3 linked regions of the Oryzias latipes genome follow. The protein of the gene in region 3 interacts with the protein of the main gene of each other region in a pairwise test. Links are inferred from orthologs where the notes say so. Each region holds a gene or a part of one and is shown on either strand. Other genes may lie near its edges.

Region 1 (4,342 bases), on a different chromosome or scaffold from region 3:
ACCATTTTATTGGGTATATAAGATCGGGTATAAATTACCCAGCAAATGTAGTGGTGTAACTTTTTGTGGTGAAAATGGTCTAGGGTTAAAGTAACCTACTGGGATAAAGAGTAATGCTATAGCACAACTCCACCTAGTGGCCAAACTGAAACGCACCACAGGAGAGGCAGAACACAATGATCAGCACAATTTTACAGTGTATGAACTGCATCAGATTAATATGAATATCTATAAAACATATATAGATTATTGTTGTATATTCATACAAATATGTATAAAGGTGGAATCTGTGTCAATTCAATATTGAATTGAATTGGGTGGATCAAAAAAAATAAAAAAAATTGTAAATAGAATCGATTCTAAAGATTTTGGGTGATACCCAGCCCACCTACCAAGAACTTCAGACGTCAAAAGATGAATACACTGTGAGCATATAGATACATTTATCTTTCTCTTATCTTATACAATTGACACTATCACTAAAGCATTTGGTTGTCACTGTTGTTCAAAATATATTCCGAAGATATACATTTATTTTTTAAGTTGGCTAAGCTGCTTTTAAACTAAGGTCTTAAAAAAATAAAAGCCCACATTCTGATTCAGAGACTTTTAAACAATCTGACTAAAGACTAACTTTACTCGAGGCAAGAAAACAGTGAAAGTGGTCAGGAAGCAGATGTCAGAATTGTATTAATATTAGGGGTCGATTCATATCATAATTTGTGCTTGCTTATATGATTCATAGTCGATGTTGGTTTATTTTGAACGATCCGATTCACTGACCTAAAATGGGTCAGGACATCTTTATCTAAAAATTCAACCAGTGTGACTCTACCTAAGTACTGAACAGTGCAGGTGAGGTTTTCAAGATTCTTTGTCTTTATTGCCAGAAAATCAAGTGTAAATTACATATGTATACAAACAAGTAAACAAGAATTAATGGGAAATCCATTCACATTTTTGTTTCATAAAGTTAAGCCCACCGCTGTCTTGCCACATCAAAATAATCCAAAGGGAACATTTTTAGAATATTCCAGCACACTGTATGGTCCCATGTCTTGGCAAAGTTCAAAGTGTTTCCACACAGTGGACTGTAGTGATGGATTGACCATTTTTGGCTGCATCACGTGTGTTGTTTGATGTGATGGCACTTGGTTGTTATAAAAAAAATAAACATGGCATGTCTCAATCCAATTAGTATTTTCCATGATCGATATAATTGATTTATTTCATATTGAAAAGATTTTATAAGGGTATAGACTGATTTGATTAACAACTTGCCTCAGACAGATTGATGCAATTAGATCATTGGAATTTAAATAGATTAATCCATTAAGTGGATTATTGTTACACACCCAATTAATAGTGTGTAGTGGGCTGCTCAGAAACCAGAATTGAATACTACAGAAGAGTCGCACTTTAAACCAAAAAATTACATAAAATATGACAAATCTGAGTGCAAGCATATGAAATTTGATGAAAGACATAGAATAACAAAAATGTAAGATTTACTTTTTAGTTAATCACTCTGCAACACTATTTAAATGTACAAATCTGTTTTATCAATAAATGTTTGTGTAATACTGAAAAAATGAACCTGGTTAATTGTATATTTTTTTGACTGTCACGAAAGGAACAAAACAGGTCAAGTCAACTAATCTGGTTCACCTTGTAAAAAGTTTGCTGTGTTTACAAAGTCCTGAAGTCCTTTCTCAGTTGGGATCTCCCCCTCTGGGCTGCAGACATGCATCACCACTTAGCTGTGGTGTTGAGGCTGGTTCCTGCCTGTGATTCTGTATTTGGCTGGCTATGCAGCTATTCACTGTGAGAGGGAGGTCCCAAATATTAGGTTTTACTCAACCAATATTTGGCTTTCGTGCTCAGCCTATTTCCAATTGCCCATCCCCATTAGCCAGGAGGTGGAAGGTTTGAAAGGGGTGGGGTGTGTGTGTGTGTTAAGGTTTGGGGAGGGGGTTCTTTTCATTTTTGTATGATTAATTTTGTTTTAATGTAAAGCGCTTTGTGTTGTGTTTTTATAGGAAAATGCGTTATAAATAAAGTTTGATTTGATTTCTCGGCTGGCGCACGCGCGCGCTCACCTGCTGTTGGATCTGTCCGTTGGCGGTCTGCACAACAATCTGCTCCCCTGTCGTAGTGGTGGCAGACGTGTACTGCTCCATCGCTGCTGCTTTTTGACGCAGTCCTCTAATAAAAGAAAAAACACAAACAGTTTAGCCTAAATATACAATGTCCTTTAAAAGGGATGTTATCAGTTTTTTTAATCTAATTTAATCAAGCATTTTTCTTTCTACTAAAAATGTAGTGCCTTATTTGACAACGTAATCATCGCCATTTTTTATAATTTTATTTCGTAACACTGGCTTTTATTGAGTCGTATATTGAATTTTTTATTTGATCAATGTGTATTAAGATACATTAAAACATGCTATAAAAATCACCCGTTAGCTGTGTTTGGAAGACGACCACCTAGCTTAGCTTAGCGCCAAAGCTAGGTAAACACCATGGTAAATTCTAGAAAGAACAAAATGGATGCTCAATTTTTAGTATGGGGACAATCGATCGGTTTTGACGGCTTTGGCGTTTCCCCAGTTGTTAAATATTTGCTAGGTCGATGAGACAAACGGGTGGAACTAGGGGAACATTATATGCCCTTTCTTTGTTTGGGAGTTCTTATTTTAGCGTAAGCTAACGTCAGACCAACAGAGATTATGTTACCCCGCTGCAGTTAACATAGATCATTTCGAGGCCGTTGAGAACTTAACAGAACCAGGACAAAGCGGTCAAACTCGAACAGCAATTTTGATTTTTTTGCAGTTAGCAGGGTTAGTAATTTGGTTGGTCCATGACAAACCAATCCGTGCTGACAACTACCAATGCCTTCAATCGTGGCTCCCTTACCGTAGCTTCGCTGTCCGGTTTCCCTCTGATTGGCTCTAGTACAGCTCGCTAAAACCCAATCAACAAAGTGAGCGGACAAAATGGCGCAAATGAAACAACGGCGGTTGGGAGGAGGTGCACAGCTGCGTGGCACATGACTGCGGGGACTGCGCAGGCTGCATTACCTCTGCTCCCCAGCAGATGGAGTCATTCAACTCTCTGACACAGTTAAGAATCTAATTGTTTCAAAGTAAGCCTAGATGCTGTAGTGACATTCTTTTTTTACCTTCTTTTTTCATTTTTAAATTCAAAGAAACAGAACACCAAGCTATGGTTGTCCTAAGTATATACCTATAGGCAACATCAGAGGTAACCTGACATGGGAAGCCCATGCTGAGCTCATAAAGAAAACCCAAAGTCTACTTTTTCAAGGCTTAGGGAAAAAAACAAAAACTCTTCAGGTTTGGTGGTGATTTTCCACTGCATTATGAAAAGTGTGCTGCCATACTGCATCTGTATTTGGTTCTCCAGCTGGACTTCAGCAGGGCAGAGTGCACAGGGTCACAGAAGTTGCACAATAGACTGTCTTGTTGTCCTCCCCAACAGGCAGAAACAAGACAAACTAGAGTACAGTTTCAATTTTAAAGTTGACGGATTAGTCTGGTGCCCTGATTTCACATTACATTTAAAGCACATAAATGATATTTTAAAACAATCTGTGACAAATTGTGAGAAATAGATTTCAAGATGCAGAAATACTACCTCTGTGGACAAGAAAACAAATAAATAACACATCAGTGCTTAACATTCAGGCATGGTCCCACTATGACTGTCTATAAATCCTTAAGAAAAAGAGAAAAAAATGAATCACAAAAAATGTATTGTGTGCAGCAGGTTGTACAGCACTTTCTTTACCAGTCCCTATTGTGTTTTTGTGAAATTCTTTGCATGTTTTTAAAATATTTTTCTACTTTTCATTTTTTACATTTATTTTTAGAAAAAAAATGTATACTTAATAAATGTAAATGGTTTCATAAGCGTTTTGTAGCCATAGACTCTCCACAAGGGGGCAGCACCGTTAAAAAAAAACACACTTTAAACTTCAGACTTCCGGAAACACTTCCGGGAATAGACGCAGAGAGTAAACAAATGTCAAGTGTAGATTATCGCTACATTTGGGACTGGTGTAAAAAATAAATGTAACTTGCAATAACAACTGAACAAAAACAAATCTAAATAGGCCAACTAAACATCACCAGGCAGGATCCGAGGGCGGACGGGCTACTTTTGTTTCCTCCGCGTGGAATACAAGTAACAAGGAGCATGGCCAGCAGGACTCTTCGGGTCCTCTGCCATTTTTCCAGGTCTGGTTCCCAATCAGTGACTCCTTCAGCTAATTATTTTAGCTGTAGACTTGCAAGCAGAGGGATCGGCAGGGCATGGA
Region 2 (4,175 bases), on a different chromosome or scaffold from region 3:
TTTCGTTCCGTGGTAGTACAGGAAACAATTAACCGACCGTACAAAGGACTTTTCTGACGACGAAAGACAAATGCAAAGTTTTAAACATAACGCATGAACCAAAGGTCAATGAACTCGTTCAGTAGACATAGACAAGGGACCAAAGACATAGACAGTGGACACAAAAACATATTTTTGGCACAAATGGAACCTCATATGATAGAAGAGTTTCAGCTCAAATCAAAGGAAAGTGGCACTGAGGAAAAGACAGGAAAAGGGCTGGAGGTTGCAGAAATGAAGATGCTGAGGTTTTTCTTGGGAGTGAACAGGATGGATTAGATAAGGAATGAGTACATCTGAGGGACAGCACATGTTAAAGGTTTTAGAGATCAAGTCGAGAGACCTAACTGAGATGGTTTGGACCATAGTGTCCAGAAGAGAGGCAGTGAGTAAGTATATTGATGGAAGGATGATGAGTCTAGAGCTGCCAGGCAAGAGGTGGATGCAGTGAACGAAAACGTGACAGTTTTTGGTGTTAGAGTAGAGGATGCAGAAGACAGGGTTAGAGGGAGGAAGGTGATTTGCTGTGGCGACCCCTGAAGGGAAAAGTCCAAAAGGAAAGAAAATGATTAGAACATTATGCCATATGATCACGTGTCTTTGCAAAATTCAAAGGGGGGTTTCAATACATTGAAGTGAAGAAGCAATAGCTTGATGTCTTGATCCTGTTTTGGTGCCTTCCCGTGTGTTGCCTGCTGTGATGGCATTTGGTCGTTTTTATGTTATAGTAAAATAAACCTTCTGTGCCTCAATCCAAATGGTATTTCCCAATATCAATATAATCAATTTATTTCATTTTGAAAAAAGTTTATGATGGTATATTGATTCAGTTACCAAATTGCCTCAGACAGATTGATCTGGTTGGATTGTAGAAAAATAAATGGATTCATCAATTCAACTATTTACAAATACGGCCTCCTTCACTTGATTACAATTTGGCTAATGCAGGACTGAAGGGCTTCATACAACACCTAAATAAATTAATAAATAAAATACATAAACAAAACATGGATAAAGAACAAACGTGTATTAACACACGTTGAATCACAAACATGGCAACAAGAGTGTCTCTCTAACAATTAAATTAAAAAAATGTTTTTAAATGACTGGTTTTGCAGATCTTTAATATATAAAGATCTGCATATATATATATATAATATTTGTATAATTTCTTTTTAAATAATTTGTGTGTTGTCTTAAATGTTGATGGTGTGTCATTTTCTCTATTTTCCCTCACTGTTCAAATCAGAACACAGAGTATCTGAAACTATCTCGAAATTGTTCAGCTGATAACAGTTTTATACTTTGTTCTTTAAATAGTTTCCCCCTGCAGTTGTTACACGAGATATTGCTGGTAGCGTTGATTTTTCTGCTCAAATCGTTGGCTTAAAAAATAACGAAAGACATCCATGTGCAGGATCCTTTGTTTATTTTTTAGTTTGTGAGGAAGTAATCCTAAAAACAAACTTAAATTTGATAGTTCAGTAAACATCCGCTCATATAAAGGAGCATTTCTTTAATCATAAGATTTTAAGGCGGTCGGTAGTTTTGAGCAAAGTGTCAAAGTGTTTTTCTAAAAGAAAACTTTACACCCTGACGCTGATCTCATATCTAATGAAGAGTCGGCACGTTCCCCCTACAGGCTGTCTCGGCGGTCGCAGCCAGTCGGCGGAGGAGCACAGGAAGGCACGAGCTCATCTCTCGCGAGGAACGACGCCGTTATCGGAATCTCTAGAAACAACACGAGAATTCGTCATTCACACGGTAATATAAGCCCACTCTTACACCGTGCAATTGACGTGTGTGAGCAATGGTCTACGAATCCAAGTCAAAATCATCTTTCATTTTATTTTAATTTTTTACGTTTTAGCAAATACTTCGTTGCGTTTCAGCGGCCTGTAGGCCTAACTAGCATGCTAACGACTAAGCTAGCTGAAATAGCGCTCTGTTTGCGTTGCTTAGCTCTCAAATCGGATTGTGCTAACTTTAGCCATTGCCAGTACATCACTGCTCTGTGCTAATCGAAACTTGTTATAATGCACAGCTGTGATCTCATGCAGTTGTAATAAACTGTACTTTTCCTGAAAAACAATAATCAACATCTATCAGGACCTATGTTCCTTCAATTGTTTAGTTCATTAATTTAAATCTCCTCCCATTTACTGATACTGATAGCATACAGTTAAATAACTGCATCGTTACTAGCAAGGCAAAGATGAAATATATTTAGTGGAATGAAAGGTAGAAGGCTTGAACAAAGTCTGGCTTTATCATTATTAAGATAAACCACCAGTTTACAAATAGTAAGGCATTTCTGGTCGTTTTTTTTAAACTATCACATCTTAATTGCTTTGAAACAAATTCATACATTGACATGTGTATGAATGTGAAAGTATTTCTCAAAGTGCATCAACTAATGTCATAAAATTGCCAGTCTGATCTACTTTTGCCCCAATCCATATACAAAAAAAGTACATTTGATTAAATTATACATCCAAATTAGTATTTGCTAAAAGTGACGTAAACAAATCTATTTGTATTTTGATTTAATTAAAAAATTAAATGGGGAGACTTGAGTTTAACTGTTATGCCATTTAGCCACAGCTTGTAAAGAAAAATACAGCAATGCCAAGCACACATGCTTTGTTTAGAAGGTGGTCATTAGCCTTAGTGATAATTGTTTTACATAAACATAAAATTGTGTTTTAATTAAATTTTTACTTTAAAATAACCATTTATTGGAAAAACAAACAATCTTCCAATACTGTCATTTACATTGGACTTTAATTCATATACACTGTTTTAAAATTAGTTGAATCAGGAAAATAAAATACTTTTAACTACTCTCGCCTTTGCAGGCTTTTAATTATGACACAGATTTATGGTATTGGGGAAACATTTTAGATATAAAGGACTTGGGAAAACAAAACAAAACAAGAATTATAAGTATTTTGACCATAAATAATGCGTAAATAGGTTAAAAGAAACGAGTACCACAATAAAAATGTTCCTAAACGTGAAAACACTTCAGCAAATATTAACTATTGTATTTATTTATGAAATTTGGGGAAGTTTAAATGTCCACTCATTTTTTGGACTTATCATTTAAAAACAGTAATTTTTATCAAGAACCGTTTCCAAAACTATGTTTCATGACTATATGACACATGAAAAGCAGATTTTGAATTTTAGCTGCAGTTTAGTCACATGAAGCAGAAAGTGTGCCATTCTATGTTTAACTTGCTAGTGATGAACATGTAATAAATCCTCAAACTTAAATGCTTTAAAAATGTCATAGAACTCATTATAATTGCATACTCAACACATGCATTGACTTCAAAGCATTTATGTACAACTGTTGTCAAACACAATTTCATAACTGGTATTAAGCTAATAGGATTTGCTTGAAAACCAGTTAAATTTGATTTGTTTCCTCAATTATGGAGTTTGCAATATGTGTGGAAAAAGGCCCAATATTAAATGCATTGGCAATAATCTCTGCAAGTATTTGATTTGGCCCAATAAGGTAATCAAGCTTTTTTCAGGCTGTGTAGTTATTAGTCAAAAGCGCTAAGGCTCAAAATCATACAATAAAGACCTTGTCCAGTTTGGTGTGGATGCACAAAGCCACTCTTGATGCTCTGGAATGTACAGGTTTCAATCGGTGATACTTTTTCTTAAAGTTCAGTCCTACAGGAAACAAAAACAGTGGCTTACAAGGGTCGCTTCCTGTTATCCTTTCCAACAAGCCTGTTTGAAATGGTATGGTTGCCAGGAGCACACATTCCCTCTATGAAAGGAATTTTTGCAAGTTACAATTGTGGAAAGCTCTGAAGATTTCTTTAACAAAAGACAAATAATGCCCCACTTTTTGAAAAATTAAACACAAGAATTTATCGTTGTGTAAATGAGACCAGAGTCCACTTCAATGAATGTAGTCTTAAAGTTCTGTTTATTTTTTAAAGTCAAATGCAAAGATCTGTTTGTTAACTGCATTTTGTTTTAAACAGCAAAAACGGAGTCTTAAGGAAGTGAAAAAGACCCTTCTTTCCTGAAAAATGTGTCTTATTTTCTGTCTTTCCATCCATTTTCTTAACCTACTCTATCTTTTTTGGGGTCTCGGGGCTCCCGGAGCC
Region 3 (3,564 bases):
CAAGAACTTAATGATCATTTGGATGGCTATTTTTGTTTTTTTGCAGTATTGACTAGTTACACTGTATAGTGTAACGAGTATGCGAGTACTCGGATACTTGCGATCTGAATATTCGCAACGTCCAAGATCGCTGATTCGCGATTTGTATAAATATGACTAGTTACACTGTATAGTGTAACGAGTATGCGAGTACTCGGATACTTGCGATCTGAATATTCGCAACGTCCAAGATCGCTGATTCGCGATTTGTATAAATATAGTGTAGTAAAAAATAAACATTGAAAACGATGTATTTATTGCTCTGAATGCAGAATAATGTTGGATTTTAAGTGTATAAACTCAAAAAAGGCAGAAAGTAAGCAAATCTTCGAAATGAAATGTCGATGAAGTTCCCCATTTTCAAAGTAAAACCATCGAAGGTTTTCTTGTAGTTGAAAGAAATGACACTGAAGTTCCATTTACTGACATAAAAAAACACAAATTTGCTTTAGCCCCTAGTTTCTTACATTCTTTCAAATACAGTAACTCTTCAACGCAACGTAATTCTAGCGGATTCTGAATTATAGAAAAGCCGCCTCGCTCTGAGATGCAGCACAACAAAAAAGGGAAGTAAAGAAGAAAAGCAGGACCCAGTTTTTTTTAATCTGATCTCCTGTTCTAAATAAAGGTATGAATGATGGTGATTTAATACAGAAAACTTTTAATTTTATACATCCAGTAAAAAGACATACATAATGCAACAAATACATTATGTTAAAAAGTAAGAGTCGTAGTTCCATCAGTGAATCAAATCGCCACCTAAGCAAAAATGCACAGTCCTAGTAGTGATGTTTGAAAAGCCATTAATCTTTCTTTGTTAGTAGAACAGTTCATGTGAACTCTCCTAAAAACACAAGTGGCCCTGCTAAAGAATAATAAGAAATTGCAACGGCAGACTTATATATTATTCTTTTCTTTCTGAAAATGTCCAAAGCTTTTATTTTTCTTACTTTTGTCTTACTTCCACTGAAGCAGGTTCCTGTACCGAAACCATGTTTCATCTGCTGACATCAAAACATTTTGAAGAAATTGTAGAAATTTCCACCTCCAATTTCCACACCATTTTCTTATCCATTAAAATAAACAAAAAATGTTTGTTTTCTTGGGAGTCTTCCGGTTATCAGACAACGTTTTGCAAAAGAAGGAGCTATGCAACAAAGCAAAAATATTTCATAAAGAAATGCATCATTCTGACATTTTAAAAAAGACGAGACGCTGACACGTTGCAAAGACGTTTTGAGCGTTTAGTTCTCCAGAGAACCACACTGAAAGCAACCGTTCATAGATGTTTTGTGAGAAAATAACTTCATTCTCGGATACAGTCATTGGCTGAGCTTTGAACGAAAGCCAAAAAAAAAAAAACAGTATTTGTTGTTTCTTCTTCTGATCTCCAGGTTGTAAATGTTTCCTCGCCTCCTCCCATTCAGGAAGCTCCTAAGAAGAACGCGGTCGAGGGTTTGAGACTGTCGGGACTGAAAACGGACAGGTACAGGTTCCACGCCTCTGCATGCTGATCCTCCTGTTCTGTTGTGGTTGGAAATATTCAACAGTCTGAATTTTTGTTAACCTCTTTTTTTCATAGTAAAATCACATCAGAAAATCTGTTTTTTGCTTATTAAAAAAGAGAAATTATAGTTTTGGTTTTAAGTTGTTTTGGCTACAAACATGGATTTAAATTAGGCCCTTTTTCCAGAAATAATGCAACATATTATCAGCATATAATCGTTTTTTTGTTGTTTATTAGACTCTTTTATCTGCTGTGCGACTCGTTTCTTTATTCTGCCACAACTTCTCGCATTTCTCAGGTCTGTTTTACTGCTTGATTTGTTTCAATGTTGGATATTTAACATTCAGCCGCTCTGTTTACATACTTGAAGTCCACTTTCTTATGCAAACACTCATGTTTAATGTTTTGTGTGGAGGCTGTTGAAACTATAAACATCTTTAGTTTATGTTCGTGAAAGTGTGGGACCCTGAATGCACCGTATGATTTACCCTTTATCTTGGCTTTTACTTGAATCCGTCAGCTCTGATTTTGTGTTTGAGAATAAAGTGCTGCTTTTTTTTTAAGAAGAGGTATCTTTAATCTTTTTTTTTTCTTAAATTTATAATTACCCGGACACATTTATACTTTTATAGAAGACGTGTCTTATTCTAGCCTCTTAAACGTCTGCTTCTGCTTTGCAGGGCGTCTCAGTCCTGCATCGAGTGTCTGGCCTCCGTTCCAGATTTCCAACGTCACTTTCCATCTGTGGTCCGCTGCTCCCTCTGCAGATTTGTCACCTGTTGCTCCGCCTCCTACGCCAACCACATGATCAAGTATGACAGCTCCTCAGAGATCTTCCATTTCTAAATGTATTTCTCTAAAGGCTGTTTAAAAATGAATCTCTAAAACTGTTGAATTTCTTTGGCGCAGTAATCACACCACCAGCAGGAGAGCCCGGCAGTTTCCAGTCATCTTCCAGCCCGACCCAAGGTTCCCACAGAATCTCACTCTGAAGGCAAAGAGCTCCTTCTCATCTGCAGCTCATTAAATCTCATCATGGGCTTTTTATTTTTCTATTTTCAGGTTGTCTGAGGAAGTAATATGCGTCGCATGCTCGCTTTCCAGCTTCAGAGGCGATGTCATAGCAAACCACCTGAACGAGAATCCGTCACATGGATTTGCAAGGATATTAAGCAAAGGTAGAGTTTTTGTGCACTTTATCCTCAGTCCAACATTTACTGTGGAAATTTTTTACTTTTATTTTATTTTAGTCCAGGACAAACCACTGGATTGAACTAAAAAAATAAACTAATTCTGTCCGTTTGTTGTTGTTTTTTTCCTGTAGAAATTTATTGTTAGTCTGTTTGTTTTCCTAAAAAAACAAAATAATATTCATAGAATTAAGCAAAGTATTTTGATAAATGTGTTTAGTTTCAGATCAAAGTGAAGAAGAAGCTAAGAAGTGCAGTTCTGACAGGTAAAGACAACATTCACTCATCAAAATCTGCAGAAAAATAAAGTAGTTGGTGTTCAAAATAATATTTTTTTTATTCTAAATGTACCGACAGGTTTTTACTGCTAGAAATTAGTTTGATAATTTACATATTTGTTCTTATTAGTTAATGTTTTAGTGTTAAGATTGTATCAGATTAAAAAAAAAGACAATTTATTGATTTTTTTTTTTTTTTTTAATCTGCATTTAGGCACGCTGAGTTTCCATATTTTACTAACGATAGATTTCTAAGTGAATCAGTGAAAGAAAATGCAGCAAGTTGTCTTCCAAAAATAAAACAAGTTGTGTAATCTCGCCTACCTTCCTGTTGTGGTGTTATTTCCTGTATTTTGATGGTGTGCAACTCTTAAAATACTCTTCCTCCTCAGGCCCACGGTGACCCTCAGCGGGGAGGGAAAGTTTGTACCGATCCACCTGGTCCCCTCCAAAGAACCCTCCAAACAGCTGACCATCAAGCCTCTCAACTCCAACTCGAAACCCTCTTTCACTCCGGCCATGACCGTCAAGATCATGGCGTCTCAGCCCG

What was found. The genes of interacting proteins can lie anywhere in the genome.
Region 1: the proteins of pogz (region 3) and nfya interact in binary tests that used the Homo sapiens proteins (3 or more experiments, as listed by UniProt). The two-hybrid records come from large-scale screens. The link is inferred for Oryzias latipes from reciprocal best matches to the Homo sapiens genes POGZ and NFYA.
Region 2: the proteins of pogz (region 3) and banp interact in binary tests that used the Homo sapiens proteins (3 or more experiments, as listed by UniProt). The two-hybrid records come from large-scale screens. The link is inferred for Oryzias latipes from reciprocal best matches to the Homo sapiens genes POGZ and BANP.

The regions. Positions count from the first base shown.
Region 1 is NC_019865.2:10,737,891-10,742,232, reverse strand, and holds the start of nfya (nuclear transcription factor Y subunit alpha), read right to left. Parts: upstream 2,854-4,342; 5' UTR 2,754-2,853; coding exon 2,737-2,753; intron 2,206-2,736; coding exon 2,100-2,205; intron 1-2,099. Other genes in the region: ngrn (neugrin), read left to right, coding at 4,222-4,342. UniProt on the Homo sapiens protein: Component of the sequence-specific heterotrimeric transcription factor (NF-Y) which specifically recognizes a 5'-CCAAT-3' box motif found in the promoters of its target genes.
Region 2 is NC_019864.2:22,010,524-22,014,698, reverse strand, and holds the start of banp (protein BANP), read left to right. Parts: upstream 1-1,322; 5' UTR 1,323-1,803; intron 1,804-4,175. UniProt on the Homo sapiens protein: Controls V(D)J recombination during T-cell development by repressing T-cell receptor (TCR) beta enhancer function. Binds to scaffold/matrix attachment region beta (S/MARbeta), an ATC-rich DNA sequence located upstream of the TCR beta enhancer.
Region 3 is NC_019869.2:4,546,667-4,550,230, forward strand, and holds part of pogz (pogo transposable element with ZNF domain), read left to right. Parts: intron 1-1,433; coding exon 1,434-1,525; intron 1,526-2,226; coding exon 2,227-2,358; intron 2,359-2,455; coding exon 2,456-2,515; intron 2,516-2,608; coding exon 2,609-2,724; intron 2,725-2,956; coding exon 2,957-3,002; intron 3,003-3,406; coding exon 3,407-3,564. UniProt on the Homo sapiens protein: Plays a role in mitotic cell cycle progression and is involved in kinetochore assembly and mitotic sister chromatid cohesion.